2 linked regions of the Rhinolophus ferrumequinum genome follow. The protein of the gene in region 2 binds, or shares a complex with, the protein of the main gene of each other region. Links are inferred from orthologs where the notes say so. Each region holds a gene or a part of one and is shown on either strand. Other genes may lie near its edges.

Region 1 (7,662 bases), on a different chromosome or scaffold from region 2:
GCTAATAACAAATGAGCAAAGAGGTTGGTACTGTTTGTGCCTTTAAGATCATAGTTCAAAAGAATTAAGTAAATGCGATAACAAAGGTAAAACAAACATAACCTTTATTCTCTTTCAAAAACCCAGAGCATAGGGCCTGGAAATTTACTCATTGATTCAATCAGAATATCTTAAATTTTGTAGTACACTTAAAATTTTATAGCAATAGACTGAATATTGTACAAGTGACAGCAAAATACATGGTTGCTCTTTACTACATAGGAAAAAATTGTAATAAATTCTCTTATGTAACATAAAGGAGGTTTAGGCTAGTGAGCTGCTTGATCATTCATAATAAATAAAAATTACTCTATGTACATATAATGCTAGCCTAAAATCACGGTATGCAATCTGATAATAAAATTGTGTCACCTTCAGGAGTTAGGAAGCCAACATATTGGAAATGCTAAAATATTTTTTAGTTTATGTAAATAGTGGAACAGAACCTCTTAAATTACAACATTCCAGAAGATAGATCAGGTATAATGAACATGCACGCCATCCATCGATCATTAATTTTCAAAGAACTAGAGTAGACTAAAATAAATGTAAATTACTCAATACAATTCAGTATTTCTTTGATTATTACAAAAATACTTCAAGGTCTTGCACTGCCTTACAGTCCTGAGCAAAAAACAGTAGTAACTAGAAAGTAGCTGTAATTCTGTCTGACAGAATACCATAGAACTGTTTGCTTTCAGCAAATCAACTGGTTAAGATGGTATCACTAAGGATTTTTTTAAAGTTCCTTAGCCATAAAAGATTTTTTTTAAAAATTCTATTACTTCTTAGAGTAACTTTGTATATATTAGAATGATTTTAGAGTAGTTAGTTAACATTATCTCAAATGTTCAAATGATTCTTAAGTTCTACTTTACATATAAGACTACTCCTTAGCATGCATTTAAACGTAATTACTAAAAACAAACATTCTTCACTTGAGAACATAGATTAAAAAGCTTTTTCTAGACCTAAGAAAAAGGTATGAATGTAGTCCTTTCTCTCTAAGCATAGAAACGAATTTAGATGACAGAGGACTAGGTCAGGAGTCAGGAGACAGGTCTGACGTAGGGAAAGCACTTTCACTCTAAGATCCCTTCCAGCTATTTAATTCTAAGGTTAAAACATTCCCTCCCATGTTCAAGGTAGAATGCGCTGGATCAAACCTGCAGCATTGTCACTGACCCTGGGAACAAATGACTACCTGAAAAACTGGACTGAGGTGATTGCTTCAGGCCCAACCTCAGACATAGGAGGAAACAGGGAAAAATCCAGTATTCTACTTCTTCACTGGTACAGGGCAGTGAAATTCCTCCAAATTTGAAGGAATATAGGAGGAATCTCCAGATGGGCTTGTTAAAACGCAGCTTCAAGGGTCTCAAACCAGCCTTACTGTGTCAGAATCTCGGGGGATGGTGTCTCCTAATCTATCTACATTTTAAACAAGAATGTCCTGCCCCACCCCTCCATACCTCTGCAGGTGATTTGTAGGCTCCACTCTCTACCCGCCCTCACCACCACAACCAAAAAAAGAAAAAGAAAAAAAGAAAAGAAAACAACCCACTATCGTGTAGTAGTAAAAGCTCTAGAGTCAGTCAGAAGCCAACGATGAGTTGCCTGATGTTGAATGAGTTATTTAATATCTCTACCGGTAGGTTTCAATCTCTTCATCAGATAAGAGTTAAATAGGAGTCTCCACTGCCCCTTCCAGTTCTCGAATGCTAAGGACTTTAATAACCTAACCTGTCAACTAGGTAAATCACGACGGAGGTGGGGAGAATTTGCAAGGTTGTGTCACTCTGCAGCCCAAGCTCCCCAGCAAGAGTCTGGTAGCCCCCAATTGGGTATCATCCCTCTCTCTGGTCCCCTCACCCACAACAGGAGGGAAAGCGAGGTGAGGTTGGAATGGGGTGAGGGGCGAGGGAGAGTAGCCAGAGTAGCTTGCAGGAGCGTTTAGGCATGGAGGAAGGATGCCTTGAAAGCAGGAATCACTCCTCGTCCTCGTCCTCGTCGTTCTGGTCCTGGTAGCGAATGTAGACCACCAGCATGACAAAGCCCGTGAGGATGCAGAGGGAGCCGACCACCAGGTAGGCGATGCCCAGGAAGGGGTTCTTGCCGCCCATCCACGAGATGCTGGTGAAGATAATGCGCTTGTGGCCGCCGAAGGCGCGCACCGGGTAGTTGTAGGTGATGTTGACCCGGTAGGCGCCGCGGGGCAGCCCGGTGGAGTAGTTGCCCTGGCGGATGCGCGCGTACAGCTTGCGGAACGTGGGCAGCGCCGCCGTGCGCATCCACACCACGAAGTCCTGGTTGATGAAGCCGGTGTTGTTGGGGTCGGAGCTGAGCTTGTAGACCGGCTGGGGCCAGTTGGGCGGCTGCGCGGTGCCGCGGAAGGCCAGTGCCAGGCTGCCGTTCACCAGCGGCGGGTTGTGGAATTTGACGTGGTAGTCGGTCCACCAGGCGATGCCGGTGCGGTCGAGCGGCACCTCGACGTAAGGCCCGCCAGCCGGGCGCTGGTGCCACAGCGTGAAGGAGTCGTTGAAAAGGCTGTTGGCGATGGCGCCGCAGGGCGCGATGGGCCGGCCGGCCGCGCTGTACTGGTAGGGGGCGCACTCATTGACTGGGTGGCGCAGGGAGCTGGGCAGCCCGCTGAGCTGCGAGTCGTCGCGGGACACGCCGTAGCGCCGGTTGTTCTGGTAAAAGTTGGTGAGCTCGTAGTAGAGGTACACGGGGCCCTGGAAGAGCTCGGGCAGCGAGAAGTACCAGGCGCACGAACAGTTGCGCGGCGGCGCGCGGTCCTGGTCGGCCAGGGCGCACAGCGAGCAGTTGCCGGTGCCGGCGTCGCCCGTGTAGTCGTAGTCCAGCTCCTTGATGCCATTGGAGGAGTAGAAGAGGCCCAGGCCCAGGCCGATGAAGGCGAGGCCCACGCAGAAGAACAGCGGCAGCGTGATGCCGGCCGACAGCAGCGGCTGCCAGGCGGGGAGGCGCTGCTGAGTGAACGCGGTGTTGTCGGGCTGGTGGGCGCCCGGGGTCGTGGCACTCCAGGTCATGGCGACCGCGCCGGGACGGACGGACGGAAGGTGTGGGGCCCGCCGGGGGCGCCTCCCGCCTCGCGCTGGGCGAGTCCGGGGGCTACTCTCGGGTCGGGTTTCCGCGGGCTCAGGTGAGTTGTGGTCCTGGCCCCGTCTCCGGCCCCGCACAGGTGAGCCTGACTTCCAGGTTCTACGAGCAGTGACCAGACCCCACACAGTTCCGCCTCGGTCTAGGTGATCCGGGCCGGCTCCGCCCCGCCTGGTAATCGGGAGCCTCGCCCAGCCTCCCGAGGTGAGCCAGGCGGGCGTTCCTTTCCACACCTGGTGGACCCGAGGCTCGCGTTTCCTTTAGGTCTGGGCGCCAGCTCCTCCTCCTCGAGGTGAGTGGCGGCTCGAGGCTGCCTGTGAGTGGCTCATACCTTACTCAGGTACCACCTTCCCTTCCTCTTCCAAGTGACTAGAGTGCCTGGGCCAGTCTTTCCCCGAAACCAAAGGTGCTGCAGCCTCCAGCACAGAGTTCCACTGAGGGATTGCACCGTGGGTCCTGGAAACGTGAAGATTTTAGGTTATTAATCCTATTTTACCTGGGAGAAAAAAGTGACTAGATCCTCTTGCCTTTGTAGGTTAACTTATGGACCACCATTCAGTCAATTTGCAGCCACAAATGGTAATGTCCAGGGGATTACACTAGGGTAAATCTGTTTCAAATTCAATGCCTGCATTCACATTCTAGCATATTTTGTAAAGGAAAAATTATTTTCCGGCCAGGTGCCCCAATCTGTCTGTATAACTGAAAAAGATTGGAAAGTTCTCTAAAAATAAAATGACTTAAAAAAGAGGATTAGACTGCAAGAGAGTGAGAGCCTTTATATATTAATATATCTCTAGCTGGTGGAGAAACCAAACCACACAAGGAGAAAAATACACTGGATTATATGTGATTTCTTTTCCTTTGTATTTGCCTGATTATTTGCAGAAAGGCCTGATCCAGGGTCCCAAAAGATCTAGGTGCTCTCCACAGGAAGGACATTGGCAATGTCCTTAAGGAGGTGAACTACAAGGATTTACAGAACTTATTGTAAATTAGCTCTGAACATCGCTTGAGCTTCTGGCTTTTATATCTAGGTTGGTACAATATACAACTTTGTGCTAAAAGTTTCAACTTTGTGCTAAATCCTCCCTAGGTATTATTGAGGTGTTCTTGTCTCGCCTACAGCTCATAAAATGCAAATAGCTTAAATATCTTTTTATATTATATTTCTGTGCCCAGAGTAATATACTGTATTCAGGAGTCATTCAAATCCCCTTGAAATTTGGAAAGTTAAAATACTTGCTAAATTAAATGGCAGGAATTTTTTTTAGCATCTTCCAAGTGTTCCGTCCTATGCTAAGCTGCTAAGCAATAGAGAAAATAGAAGAGAATAAGACTAAAATTGACCTTTGACCTCAACACATTTGCAGTCTGATAGGAGACATATTACTTAGGAGTAAGAAAAAATCAAAATAGCCAATAGACAGCATGCAATCAAGTACCAAATTGTATACCTTACAAGAAAGTTACTAAAATTAAAGGGTAATACTGTTTTAATAATGAAAAATTCATTCTATCACGCTGAGTGGAATGAATGCAGTTTGGATGCTTTAACTATTAGAAATTACTGAGGGAGACCTAGATGACTTGAATTCCACTTCCCTCACTTCTAGTCATATCCCAAGAGAGGAAATGCCAACAAGTTCCTATAGCATGCTCCAGTTTCCACTACACCTTTTTTTTTCAATAAGATGAAAGAATAAACAGTTCTCTGTATCATTATGGTTGAGTTCCACTCACTACAAATCATTGAATCATTAGTCAGCCTGACATAGAGTCCACAGAACTAGTCTCGAGGAAGGAATTCAGTTCTCAAAACTTAATATAGTGAATCTTACGTCTTAACAACTGCCATGACACAACACTCCCTTAAAAATGCAAGTTCTCTTGAACGGAGAGCCTTTCCAGCTCTCACCTCCCTGGATGACCTGAAGTTTATTCATCCTGCTAAGTAAGGTAACAATCAGAGGGTCCCAAAGGCCAAAAGAGAAAATCAAGACAGGGAATAGTCAACAGGGTGAAACAGCTGAAGGTTCAGGTGAGATAAGAAATGAAAAGGAGCACTGAATTTGACTTATGTGTGAACAGTTTGGGTGGAGGGGTGGGAAGAGTCAGGCTCTATCACGTGAGGGAGAGAGGAAGTAGAGAAGCCAAGATAGGATATCTCTTTTTAGAAATGTGTGGTAAGGGAAGGAGAAAGGCAAGTAGAAATCATTTAGAAGAGTATGTATCCAAAAGGAAAGGCTTCTTTATAGAGGGCAAACAAGTGTTTATTCTGAGGGAAGATGATAATAGTTCAGGCAAGGTTGAAGACAGGCGTGACATATTCATGGATGGTACAAAGGCAGGAACAGGCAAAAGGTGCTGGGTCCAGAGAACAGGTGCAGAGTCACTTCACCTCTGAAACTGGAGAGCAGGGAGTAAGGTTGGATGCAGAAAGCACCGGGACTTTGGGCTCCGCTTAAGGAGAGAAAGTTTTCATTTAAGAATTTCTATGCAGTAAAAATTGGGGAAGGGGGCGGAAGGGAAAGTGTGAGATGCAGGGAAGGCTTCGAGGAGAGGGAGAAAGAACTGGCCAGGAAGGCTTTGAGGAGAGGGAGAAAGAACTGGCCAGGGTTACATGAAAGGATGTTGGATGGCTTTGTCTAGGGATTCCTGCAACCCAGGATGTGAGATGGCAAATGATTGACTGTGTCCAGCAAACGGGGGTTTTCAGGGCAGGTGAATCGGAAAGGTAAAGGTTTGAGATACTGTGGTTCTTGTGGAGGAGGTGACTAAAGGAATAGGCTTTAGTGTTTAAGCCTAATGGCAAGGAAAATGAAACCAAGCTGGTGAATGAAAAGAAAACACAGGGACCAGTAGGCTGGCAGTCCTGATGATGTTAAGGAACAGGTGGCATGAAAGCTGGGAGGGAAAAGGCACTGGTATGAAATGAGATGTTAAAGATTTTGCAAGTGGAACAGTGCCAAGATCCATGTGTATGTCATATTTCCTCTACCAGCTCATAAGTTCTGAAGGTCAAGACTGATATACATCATTGTCACTCTCAGAAAGTTCATTATATGACCTTATGTCTTTCATTTGATTATACGTGTTACCATGATGCATCCAAGGTCATCTGGGTCATTTAAAGTCTTCTCAGTACCATTAAAGTAAACAAAGGAGTTCATTCTAAACAATTCTTCATTGCACCTCTTTATTATAAAGAAAACTCAAAGTGAAAGAAAAGGGCATTCCCAATTCCAGTATTTCTAAGATGTAAATAATTTTTCCATTTTATCTTTTGGATTTTATCCATATAAATATTATATTTCTTATTGGTTATATGATAAAAATACAATTATTATCATTCTCTTGTTAAATTACCTCCTTTTGGAATGAGATGAAGAATAAAATATTTTCCATATGTCTTTGTGGTTTTATAATTTTTTAATGGTTTCAAAATTCATGGATCTACCATATTTAACTACACTTCTGTTGTTGGGCATATAAATTATTTCCAGTTTTTCAGTATTCCAAAGAATATAGCAGTGGACATCTTTTTGCATATAACCTTTTATATTACAGTTGACCCTTGAACAACACAGGGGTTAGGGGTGCTGACCCCCACGTAGTCAAAAATCCACGTATAACTTTTGACTCTCCAAAAACTTAACTAGTAATAGTGTACTTTTGACTGGAAGCCTTACTGATGACATGGACAGTTGATTAACACATATTTTGTATGTTATATGTATTATATACTGTATTCTTACAATAACGTAAGCTAGAGAAAAAATGTTATTAAGAAAATCATAAGGTAAAGAAAATACATTTACAGTACTGTATTTATTGATATCATAATCGTATGTCATCTGTTTATAAAATGAATTGTCTGTCAGTAACCTACATCAATATTGTCTTATATGATACAAAACACTGTAAATGTTATACATATTACTAATGCTAGACATCAAAAATGAAAAGATAATGTGAAAAAGAAATTCATATTTATTTACAGGTATAACGATCCATTGATAACGAAGAAGCAGCAATATAATTGCTTTGGGTAGCCTAGTATAATGGATATGATCGCTTCATGGTAATAAGGAAATCTCCAAAAGATTTTCCAGTATATTGAAAAAAATCCACGAATAAGTGGACCTACGCAGTTTAAACCTGTCTTGTTCAAGGGTCAACCGTATTTCCTTAGGATGAATTTCTAAAAGTAGGCAAGGGGCTTAAAGTTCAAACTTTTTAAAGATACATACAGCTAGAGTCTTTGATACCATCACAACGCTGTATACATTACTACATTCACCAAAACTTTGCCAACAAAATTAGTTGTTAACCACAGAATATATTTAGTCTATGCTAAAAAATCTATCAGATACTAGGAGAAGCAGTATAGGATAGGGAAAGAATGCGGCCTGACATTAAGGAAGTCCAAGTTGTACTCTAGAGTTGTCAGGATATAATTGTGACCTTGGTCAAATTGCTTAACTTCTCTGGTCTCCTGAT
Region 2 (8,290 bases):
AGGAGTAACTTGGTTAACAGAAGAAAGAAGAATAAGCTATCTTTTTGTGTGTTATTAAAATTCTTTTTGCAGCAAATTAATTTTTCTTATCTTAATAAGGTAACAAAACACCTACAGACATGAATACAATTAATTTAACTGAATGATGCCAACAACCAGACCTGAAAAATCACAAGATACCTAAAGACATCGCAAAGAAAAACTTCCTAAGAAATTAATCTAGACGCAAATATAGAAGCAAATTCTAAAATTAAGTCCTAAGAAACCTAAACATCACCTCTCTGTAGAGATATGGGTCATGAATGGGCCCCATAAAACTCGTTCTACTACCTAAAAAGCAAATTCATCTGCATTCATAAGAGCATAGGCTTGGGCGGCTGGGCGGCTCAGTTGGTTAAAGTGCAAGTTCTGAACAACAGGGCTGCTAGTTTGATTTCCACATGGGCCAGTGAGCTGCGCCCTCCACAACTAGATTGAAGGACAACGACTTGGAGCTGATGGGCCCTGGAGAAACACACTGTTCCCCAATAAAAAAAAAAAAAAAGTCTTTAATCCTTTGGGAAAAAAAGAGCATAGGCTTCTTTTACAATGATTGAAACTAAAGAGAAAAGGTGACTAATAGATTAAAATCTCTCTGGAATGGGTTATAACGGTCACCAGGATTCCATGAGTGCTGTTTATGAAAAACAAAATGGAATTGAGATTAGTAAGGCAATACACTATTTAAAATATACCAACTACCTAGACATCATACTAATTTTAAAAATGTCAGTTTAAGAAAGAAAACAAGAAAACATATGGATCAGGCACCTGTTCTCTCATTTAATTCTCTCAACCCAAGCAGGCTAATAATTATCTTTTTTTCCCCAGCAAATGAGTAAACTGAGGTTCAGAAATTTTAGGAATTCATCTGAGGTTATACAATTTAAAGAGTAAATAAATATAATAAAAATAAATTGTAAAAATTAAATACAATTTAAGTAAAGGAAATGAAATCTGTGGGAATCTAAATCCATGTTTTCCACTGCTCCTTGCTTTCAAAGGAAGACAGAAGGAAAGAAGGAAGAAAGGAAGGAAGGAAAGAAGGAAGAAAGGAAAGAAGGAAGGAAGAAGGGAATACAGACAGACAGGGAAAGAAACATTTTACAGTCAGATCTGCTCAGTGTCATTAGTGCTAAGATCACAGAGGCTGAAATCCAGATGAAACATGGAACTAGTCCTGAACTTGACTTACACCTGCAGCTTCTTTTCGTTAAGCCATTTGCTTTACCAATCCATTATTTTTAAAGCGTCAGTTATAAAAACTAAAAACAAAACACCGCCCAGTTCTATCACTAACAAGTAGTAAGTGCACACTTGCATGCATTTTCCTTAAAACAAAAACCAGAAGGAAAGCTTGAAAGTAGCCAGAGCTGCTCTCACACAGATGGTTATTTGTGTTCACTAGCATTATCCATATGGGTCTTGTTTGGCCCTCAATAGCAGACATGAAAAATCACTAAAAGTTACCAGAGCACCGGCCACTAGAAAATGGCAAGTGAAAAAAGCTGTTAAGGTTTCTTACCAATTATAAAATTAGGAGGCCTTCACTACATAATGAAAACCATTAAGAGAATTCAGAGGGGTAATTGCAGGCAGACTGACTTCTCCCCAGACAGTAATCAGCTAATAACTATTAATCATCTTTTGCACAGTACATGCATTTATAATAATTTTTCTTTTGTTTTTTGTTTGTTTTTAGGCTTGCAAAAATAGGCCAGAATTAATCAATGGCGTTTTAGGTCTAACACAAAAGTACTCCTGAGACGATGAAAATCAGAACTTCTATTTCACGTTTTGTGTTGTTTCCTCTTTTTATATGCACTTGTATTTACTATCACTGCAGACTTTTTATCACACATCATTTTTCAGTTTCTGTTCCTAGAAGCAGTTAACCTTGGTCCCTAACCTACTGTTTGGCGGGTGAAGTTCAAGCACTTCGCCTACGTTGTCTCCTTTAATTCTCAAGGAGTGGAGAAAGACATTTGAAGGCAATGCAACGTGGAAGATGGGACGGACTCTCTTCTCAAGCCAACAGGGCGGACGGGTTTCCGGGAGGGGAACTCCGCGGCGTCCGGAGCTACCCAAGCAGGACTTGGCGCCCGCCAGAGGCTGCCCCGGCAGGCCGAAAGGGTCGGCTGAGGTTGAGGGGGCGTCACTGGACGGAAATGTGGCCCGGGTCCCCCCTACTTGCGCATGTCCACCCCGCTCTCCCGTTCTGCATCCTCGTCCTACCTCTACAGCTGTCACGATTCTACGTTCCGAGGCTCCCCCCGTGGGGACCAGGCGCTCACACCTCCTGGGAGAAGTTGCGCGGACAGTTCTAGCTTTTCTTTCACTTGGGGAGGGATGGGGACGTGAGAGGTTAGAACACTTGCCATTCTCTGCAACACCACCCACGCCCTACAAGTCGCGATTCAGCACGCATAAACCGAGGAGACAACCCTGGCCATCAAACTGGGAAGGGACGGAGATGGGCTGTAGCAGTCAGTACGATGGGAGCTGGCAGACACGACCCTACAATCACCAAAGTAACCCTTTTCCCCACCACCTCCCAACCTGCGTAAAAGCGCACAGAAGATGTCCAATGGTGCCTGGTCCCGGTGGAGGCGATCTCACGCTCCATCCTTACCCGCAGGTGCGGTCAGGTACATTTGGCCCTAAGGTCTTTTTCGGACGCGTTGGCATCGGCTCCCAAAGGGGGTTCCGGCAGAGCCCGGCCACTGGCGACTTCCAGAGGGGCAGCAGAACACTTTATGGGAAGCCAACGGCCCTTCCCGAGAACCCGCAAGCCCCGCCAGGCTTGACCCTCGAAGCTGAACCCTGGTCATGTGTGTAAGCAAACGAGCGAAGAACCCAAACACCTCCCTCGAGTTCCGTCTCCTCCCAGCAGGTGGTAAAACCCCATGGACCGCTCCACAGTGCTGCTTGCCGGGTCAGCTGTGCTTCCCCATCCCCGAGGCCGCGAAGGCTCCAGGCACCCCCACCCAAATCCCACCCGTGCGGACTCAGGAGCCCGAGGGCGCGGACAGCTGCTGCCACCGCATCCCGGATCCCCAGAGTTCGCTGACACAGGGGCAGTCAGAGGACCCTCCCGGCCGATGAGGAGGGGAAGGTCGGGGGACACTGGCGCCGCGCCCCTGCTTACCTGGCGCTCTCTGGGCCCCGGCTGGGGCATCCGCCGGGTGCGCGCCTCTCCGCGCGCTCGCTGCGCACCTGGCCGCCGCCGCCGCCCGCCCGCCAGCCCGCCCGGCCCCAGCTCTGGCCGCGGCGCTAGCGCTTCATGGCTCACGGGGGCTGGCCCGGGGCTCCGGGAAGCTAGTCCAGTTGGCGGCGGCTCCTCGGGCTCTCGCAACTCGCCAATGGCTCCTCGCCTTTCCCCGCCCCGCGTCCGCGCGCCCTTCCTCTGCGTCCGCCCTTTTCCCTCCGCTCCTCGGGACCGGCCAAACTGGTTTCTCCGCTCCGGGATCGTGCCTCCAGTTTCCCTTCGGCAGCCGCGGCGCACAGCAGGGGCTAGGGGCGGGCCCAGCCGTCCGCTCTCCTTTTGTCCCTCCTGGGGGCGGAGAGGGGCTGGACCGCGAGTCCACTGGGCGGATAACGCGGCCCGGATCCAGCCTCGTGCCCTCCGTGCGCCCCGGCGGCTGCTGGGCCCCCGGCCGTGGCCTCCGCCGCGTCCGTTCCGCGACCTGGCAGCTGTGGCCGCTTTCAGCTCCCCGGGTGCTCCCGCCTCCCAGGGGGCCGCGCTCGCCACCCCGCCCCACCAGACTCGCGTCACTTTCCCGCAGCCCTCGGCCGTCCTGGCCACCACCCGGGGTCGGTGACCGCGCCAGCCCGGAAAGCTGGCGGGCCACGGCTCGCCCGGGACCTGAGCTCCCTCGGTAAGGGGAGCTGTACCCTCTCGATGCCAAGTCACGTTCCCGGATAGGTCATCAAATGCGTGTCGCGGTTCGACGCGCGGAGGGTGGGGAAAGAGACACTGCCAAAAGACTTCGAGAAACTTATCCTGTAATTGCAGCAGCAGGCTTTCTGCTGAGACCAAACTCCCTCACCTTTACAGGTCAATAGGAGTCAGGGTATGGCATGTGAATGGCACGATGTGGTTGGAAAATTTGGACTCCCATGCAAGGCTGATAGATAGCTGGTGTCTGGGCATGTGAAACGATTCTCCCTGGCAGGATATATAGTACAGTACACTCCTTACACCAGAAGAATTTTACTGCTCACTAGCTATGGACAAGCCGCTGGGATACGAATGAAGGAAAGTCGAAGATGAATCACAGTCTGCTTAAAATGTAGCAGGGGAGATAGGACTTCACCTACCTGCAGATCAGAGAGGCTCAGGTCATTGCATTGAGAGCTCAGAGTTGCAAACGGGGGCTTACGGGAGACTTCAGCGAGGAGGCCATGCTTGAGGCGAGATTCAAAGACTCACACGTTTAGGAATCAGAATAGTATGAAGAAGATATTCAAAAAGTGGTTTACTGGGGCAGCCGGATGGCTAAATTTGTTAGAGTGGGAGCTATGAACCTCAGGGTTGGCAGTTCCTTTCCCACATGGGCCAGTGAGCTGCTCCCTCTACAATTAGATTGAAGGACAACGACTTGGAGCTGATGGGCCCTGGAGAGACACACTGTTCCCCAATATTCCCCAATAAAAATTTTTTAAAAAATTATTTAGTCTTTAAAAAATAAAAAAGTGGTCCACTGATTTGACCTTCAGGAATGAAGGTATATGAACGAATCAACTGATACAGTTAAACCCTAGACTGCCCTGGGTTTCTTTTTCATTAGTCACACTTGATCTTTGACTAGGTAGTGATGGTCAGTCATTTAATCTCTCAGGGCCTCAGTTTCCTCATCCGTAAAATGAGACTGCACCAGATGATCTCAAGCGGTTCCTTTCAGTGCTTCTTTTCTGAACCCAACAACAGAGCAAAGTACAAAGGCCTGAAAACACAGTCTGTTTAGCGACAATGGGGTAGACCAGTTGGCTGGCACTGCAATGGTACTACATAAGGTTAGTGAGGGAGTTGGGGCCCGGAAGTCCTGGAATGCCAGCTAAGGACTTTGGGCTTGCTCTTGGCAGCGCCTGTAAACCACTGGGAGTTTATGACCACAGCAGTGACCTGATCAAGGTTGTGTTTTAGGCACAGGAGTGGGGATAGTTTGGAATAGGGTAAGACTGAACATGGAGGTACCCTCTGGCAGGCTACCACAGCAACATAAGGTGGGCCTGAAGAAGTTGCCAGTGGACGTGCAAAGACAGAGGCGCGTCCAGGAACATCCCGAGGAGAAATGGCCGAGACGCAGAGTGGCCAGAGCCTGCAAGTGGCCGGCAGAGGGAGGCATAGGAGATGAGCAAATTCTCCCGGCTGGGTGATGGCATTAGTAGGAACAGCGGAGTCAGAAGGAGGGAGGACGCTGAGGGGGCTCTGCCCTGCCAGGAGAAATGCCAGTAAACCTAGGAATCAAGAGGCGACTCTCGACTAAAGGAAGGACCCCTTCCTTCTTCCACATCTATCAGCACGTGCTCAATCTGTCTAGGAAAACAGATCCTACGCTAGGATACATCCAAACCACACCACACCCACACCCCAATTTGATAAATACCATTCCTTCAGCTGCATTTAACACCTGGGAATAGACACTGAAGACGTCAAGTTAGATTGCTGCTCTCACAGACCACAGGGCGGGGGGAAGTGTGGGCAACGGGACACGATGGGTATTGTTTCAAAGATTCATTTATTTAAGAAATATTTGTTGAGTGCCTACTATGTGCTAGGCACTGTTCTGGTTACTTAGATAAATCAGTGAACCAATCCGGCAAATTGTATCTTAAAAGATGACAAATGCTTTGGAAAAAAATAGAACAGGACTGGTTGGCAGGAGGCCACTAAAGGAGCCATCTAGGGTGCTGTAAGAGTTCCATACCTTGATCTGGGTGGTGGTTAGATGAGAGTATGCGGAGATAAGAGTCCATTGACCTGTACACTTAAGATGTGTCCATTTAAAAAATCATAAAAATAGAGCAGGGTAAAGAGATTAGGAGTGGGAGAGTGAGCTGCAATTTTAAATAATGTGGTCAGGGTAGGCTTCATAAAGAACTGCATTTGAAAAAGACTTGCAAGGTGAGGGGGTTTCTTTCTCAGTGAAAGAAATTCTTTGAAGGCCCATCTTGCCTGGAACCCACCAGGAAAGGGCATGCTCAAGCCTTGTCCTGGTGAGTTTCCCTCACCTAAGCCTTCCGAGCCTTCCTGGTCACTGGGAAGGAAATCTTCAGAACATGTCAGCTGCTGTGCTGTTGCTGATAACGGAAGTGGCTCACCTGGAAATCCTGACCCTTGTTCTCTCTGAAAGAACTGTGCCAGATTTCAGGGTGCCTTGTCAGGTCAATCATTGAAAGTGTCTCACGCACGCAACAAAGAAACAGTCATTTCTAAAAGGGTGACAATGCTTTTCAGCTTTTGTAGTTCGTAATTTCCTCCAACTGTGTGTGTGTGTGTATGTGTGTGTTGTTTTCCTTTTCTTGGCAACACTCCCGTGTATTTCCATGATGTGGGTAGAAAAGTTGGGGAGGTTGCCAAGAGAACTAGCTCACTTTTACTGAAAATGCATTTCCTAGAATATTTTTCTACGAGATAAGAGCTAAGGGATAAAAGATATGTTTAAAGGGAGGTGATACTGCCTGTATTCAGTTCTTTGCTAAACTCAGTGGTCATTTAAGCTAAAGCATTTAATGCCAATGGAAAGGTAGTCGTGGCCCACTAGGTGTTACTGTAACCCATGCTTGGCAGTCAAGATTAACTCAGTTGGAAGCTGAATTCTTCACAGCCATTGTCTAGACCAGCTCCAGAATTGCAAACATGATACGAAGGTACCTCTTATATGAATCTGACTTTTTAATAAGTAAAATTAGCGACTTCGACTAGTTTGCCTACTTTCTTTTAAGTGGTATTTAAAATAGATACAGATGATATATTCTATCACTGCCAAATAATTTTCCAAATTCCTTACATTCGTTTCATTTCCTTTACTATTTAACGACTTCTTTTTTCTGACCAACATTTTAAATTAAAAAATTGGATTGCAAGAGTAACATTAAACGTCAGGTAATTGTGTCTGTTATTTTGGCTTAATATTTCTGAGAGGTTAGAAGAAGTATTATTTGTGAGCACATTATTAAAATTCACTTCTCTTTCTTTCATATTCATGATACGTAAATGTACAGGATTACTCTACAGTTTTCTTTTCTAAAGGATACATGAATAACCTACTATCTATCCACGGAGAATGAAATGAACATTACATTGAACTTATGTTGATAATATAACACCAGTTAAACTTAATTTACATAATTAATTTAATGAATAAATGTCCCCAATGTCCTGTGCTCATCGTTAGTATGTGTAGCCATGTTTTCGTGTAGCTGTAAGAAGTGCGTACGTATTACCTTACGCTCTATTTTCACAATTGACCATTGTGTTATGAAAACATGTCTACCTTTCTAACTTCGTCCCTCCTTCCCCACGACTGGTATGCTAAGCTCCCCGCATCCCAAACTGTGTGCAATTCACTGAATGCTGAATAGCATTTGATCCTCCCTCGGCTTGAGAAGTTGTTCTCTTCTCCCTGATCGCCAGCTCCAAAGTGACTTCCTCTGAGTCATCTTTGCCCTTCTCTCCCCCAGACAGTAGCTTCCATAGCATTTTGCACCTTACTTCTGGGGACGCCTTTACTTCATTGTTTTTTAACTGTTTGTCTCCTACCCAACGCACTGTGAGCCCTGTGAGACCCAAGATGGAGTCGTCTTCTTCTTGGTCTCACTTGGCAAAGAACATCTCCACGTGCCTATTAATTTTTGTAGAATGAATGAATGGTCTGCATCGTCACAGTCTCTCTGTGTGTGTGTGTGTGCGTGTGTGTGTGGATAGCTGTATAGTATTTTCTTCTACTGATGACTTCATCATTTGCTATTGTGGAACATTTATGCATTTTCCACATTGGTTTCCAGAAATATCTGACCAATCACAACCCACCACTATTTTAAGGGCTTCTAAACATCTATTTCTCTCTGGTTCCTATTATTTTGTGGGTTGTGATTTGATCTTCTTTACGTCATTCTAGAAACAGTGTGCCTCCGGTACAGGAAAAGGTTTTGCTTTATTAGAAGTAGGACACGTGTAAGCCTTTGTTGCTGTCACTGGAGCAATAGAAAGAATGGTATTCAAGTTCTTCCATAAAGTTATAGCAAT

The links. The genes of interacting proteins can lie anywhere in the genome.
Region 1: the proteins of ATP8B1 (region 2) and TMEM30B are in contact, whole or in part, in a cryo-EM structure (PDB 7VGH), measured with the Homo sapiens proteins. The link is inferred for Rhinolophus ferrumequinum from reciprocal best matches to the Homo sapiens genes ATP8B1 and TMEM30B. Residues at the interface, in NP_001361314.1 of Homo sapiens: Trp362, Val366, Ser369, Ser370, Trp371, Tyr372, Leu373, Tyr374, Asp375, Gly376, Phe418, Trp421, Asp422, Leu423, Tyr426, Asp431, Pro433, His939, Trp942, Arg946, Tyr968, Phe971, Asn972, Gly973, Ser975, Ala976, Gln977, Leu1003, Gln1005, Phe1049; in NP_001017970.1 of Homo sapiens: Gly9, Ala10, His11, Gln12, Pro13, Asn15, Phe18, Thr19, Gln20, Gln21, Arg22, Leu23, Pro24, Ala25, Trp26, Gln27, Pro28, Leu30, Ser31, Ala32, Ala35, Leu38, Phe39, Phe46, Leu49, Leu53, Tyr109, Tyr111, Asn116, Phe117.

The regions. Positions count from the first base shown.
Region 1 is NC_046289.1:33,820,582-33,828,243, reverse strand, and holds the start of TMEM30B (cell cycle control protein 50B), read right to left. Parts: upstream 3,222-7,662; 5' UTR 3,090-3,221; coding exon 2,028-3,089; 3' UTR 1-2,027. UniProt on the Homo sapiens protein: Accessory component of a P4-ATPase flippase complex which catalyzes the hydrolysis of ATP coupled to the transport of aminophospholipids from the outer to the inner leaflet of various membranes and ensures the maintenance of asymmetric distribution of phospholipids.
Region 2 is NC_046302.1:46,736,441-46,744,730, forward strand, and holds the start of ATP8B1 (phospholipid-transporting ATPase IC), read right to left. Parts: upstream 3,299-8,290; 5' UTR 3,188-3,298; intron 2,770-3,187; exon of another isoform or gene 2,672-2,769; intron 1-2,671. UniProt on the Homo sapiens protein: Catalytic component of a P4-ATPase flippase complex which catalyzes the hydrolysis of ATP coupled to the transport of phospholipids, in particular phosphatidylcholines (PC), from the outer to the inner leaflet of the plasma membrane.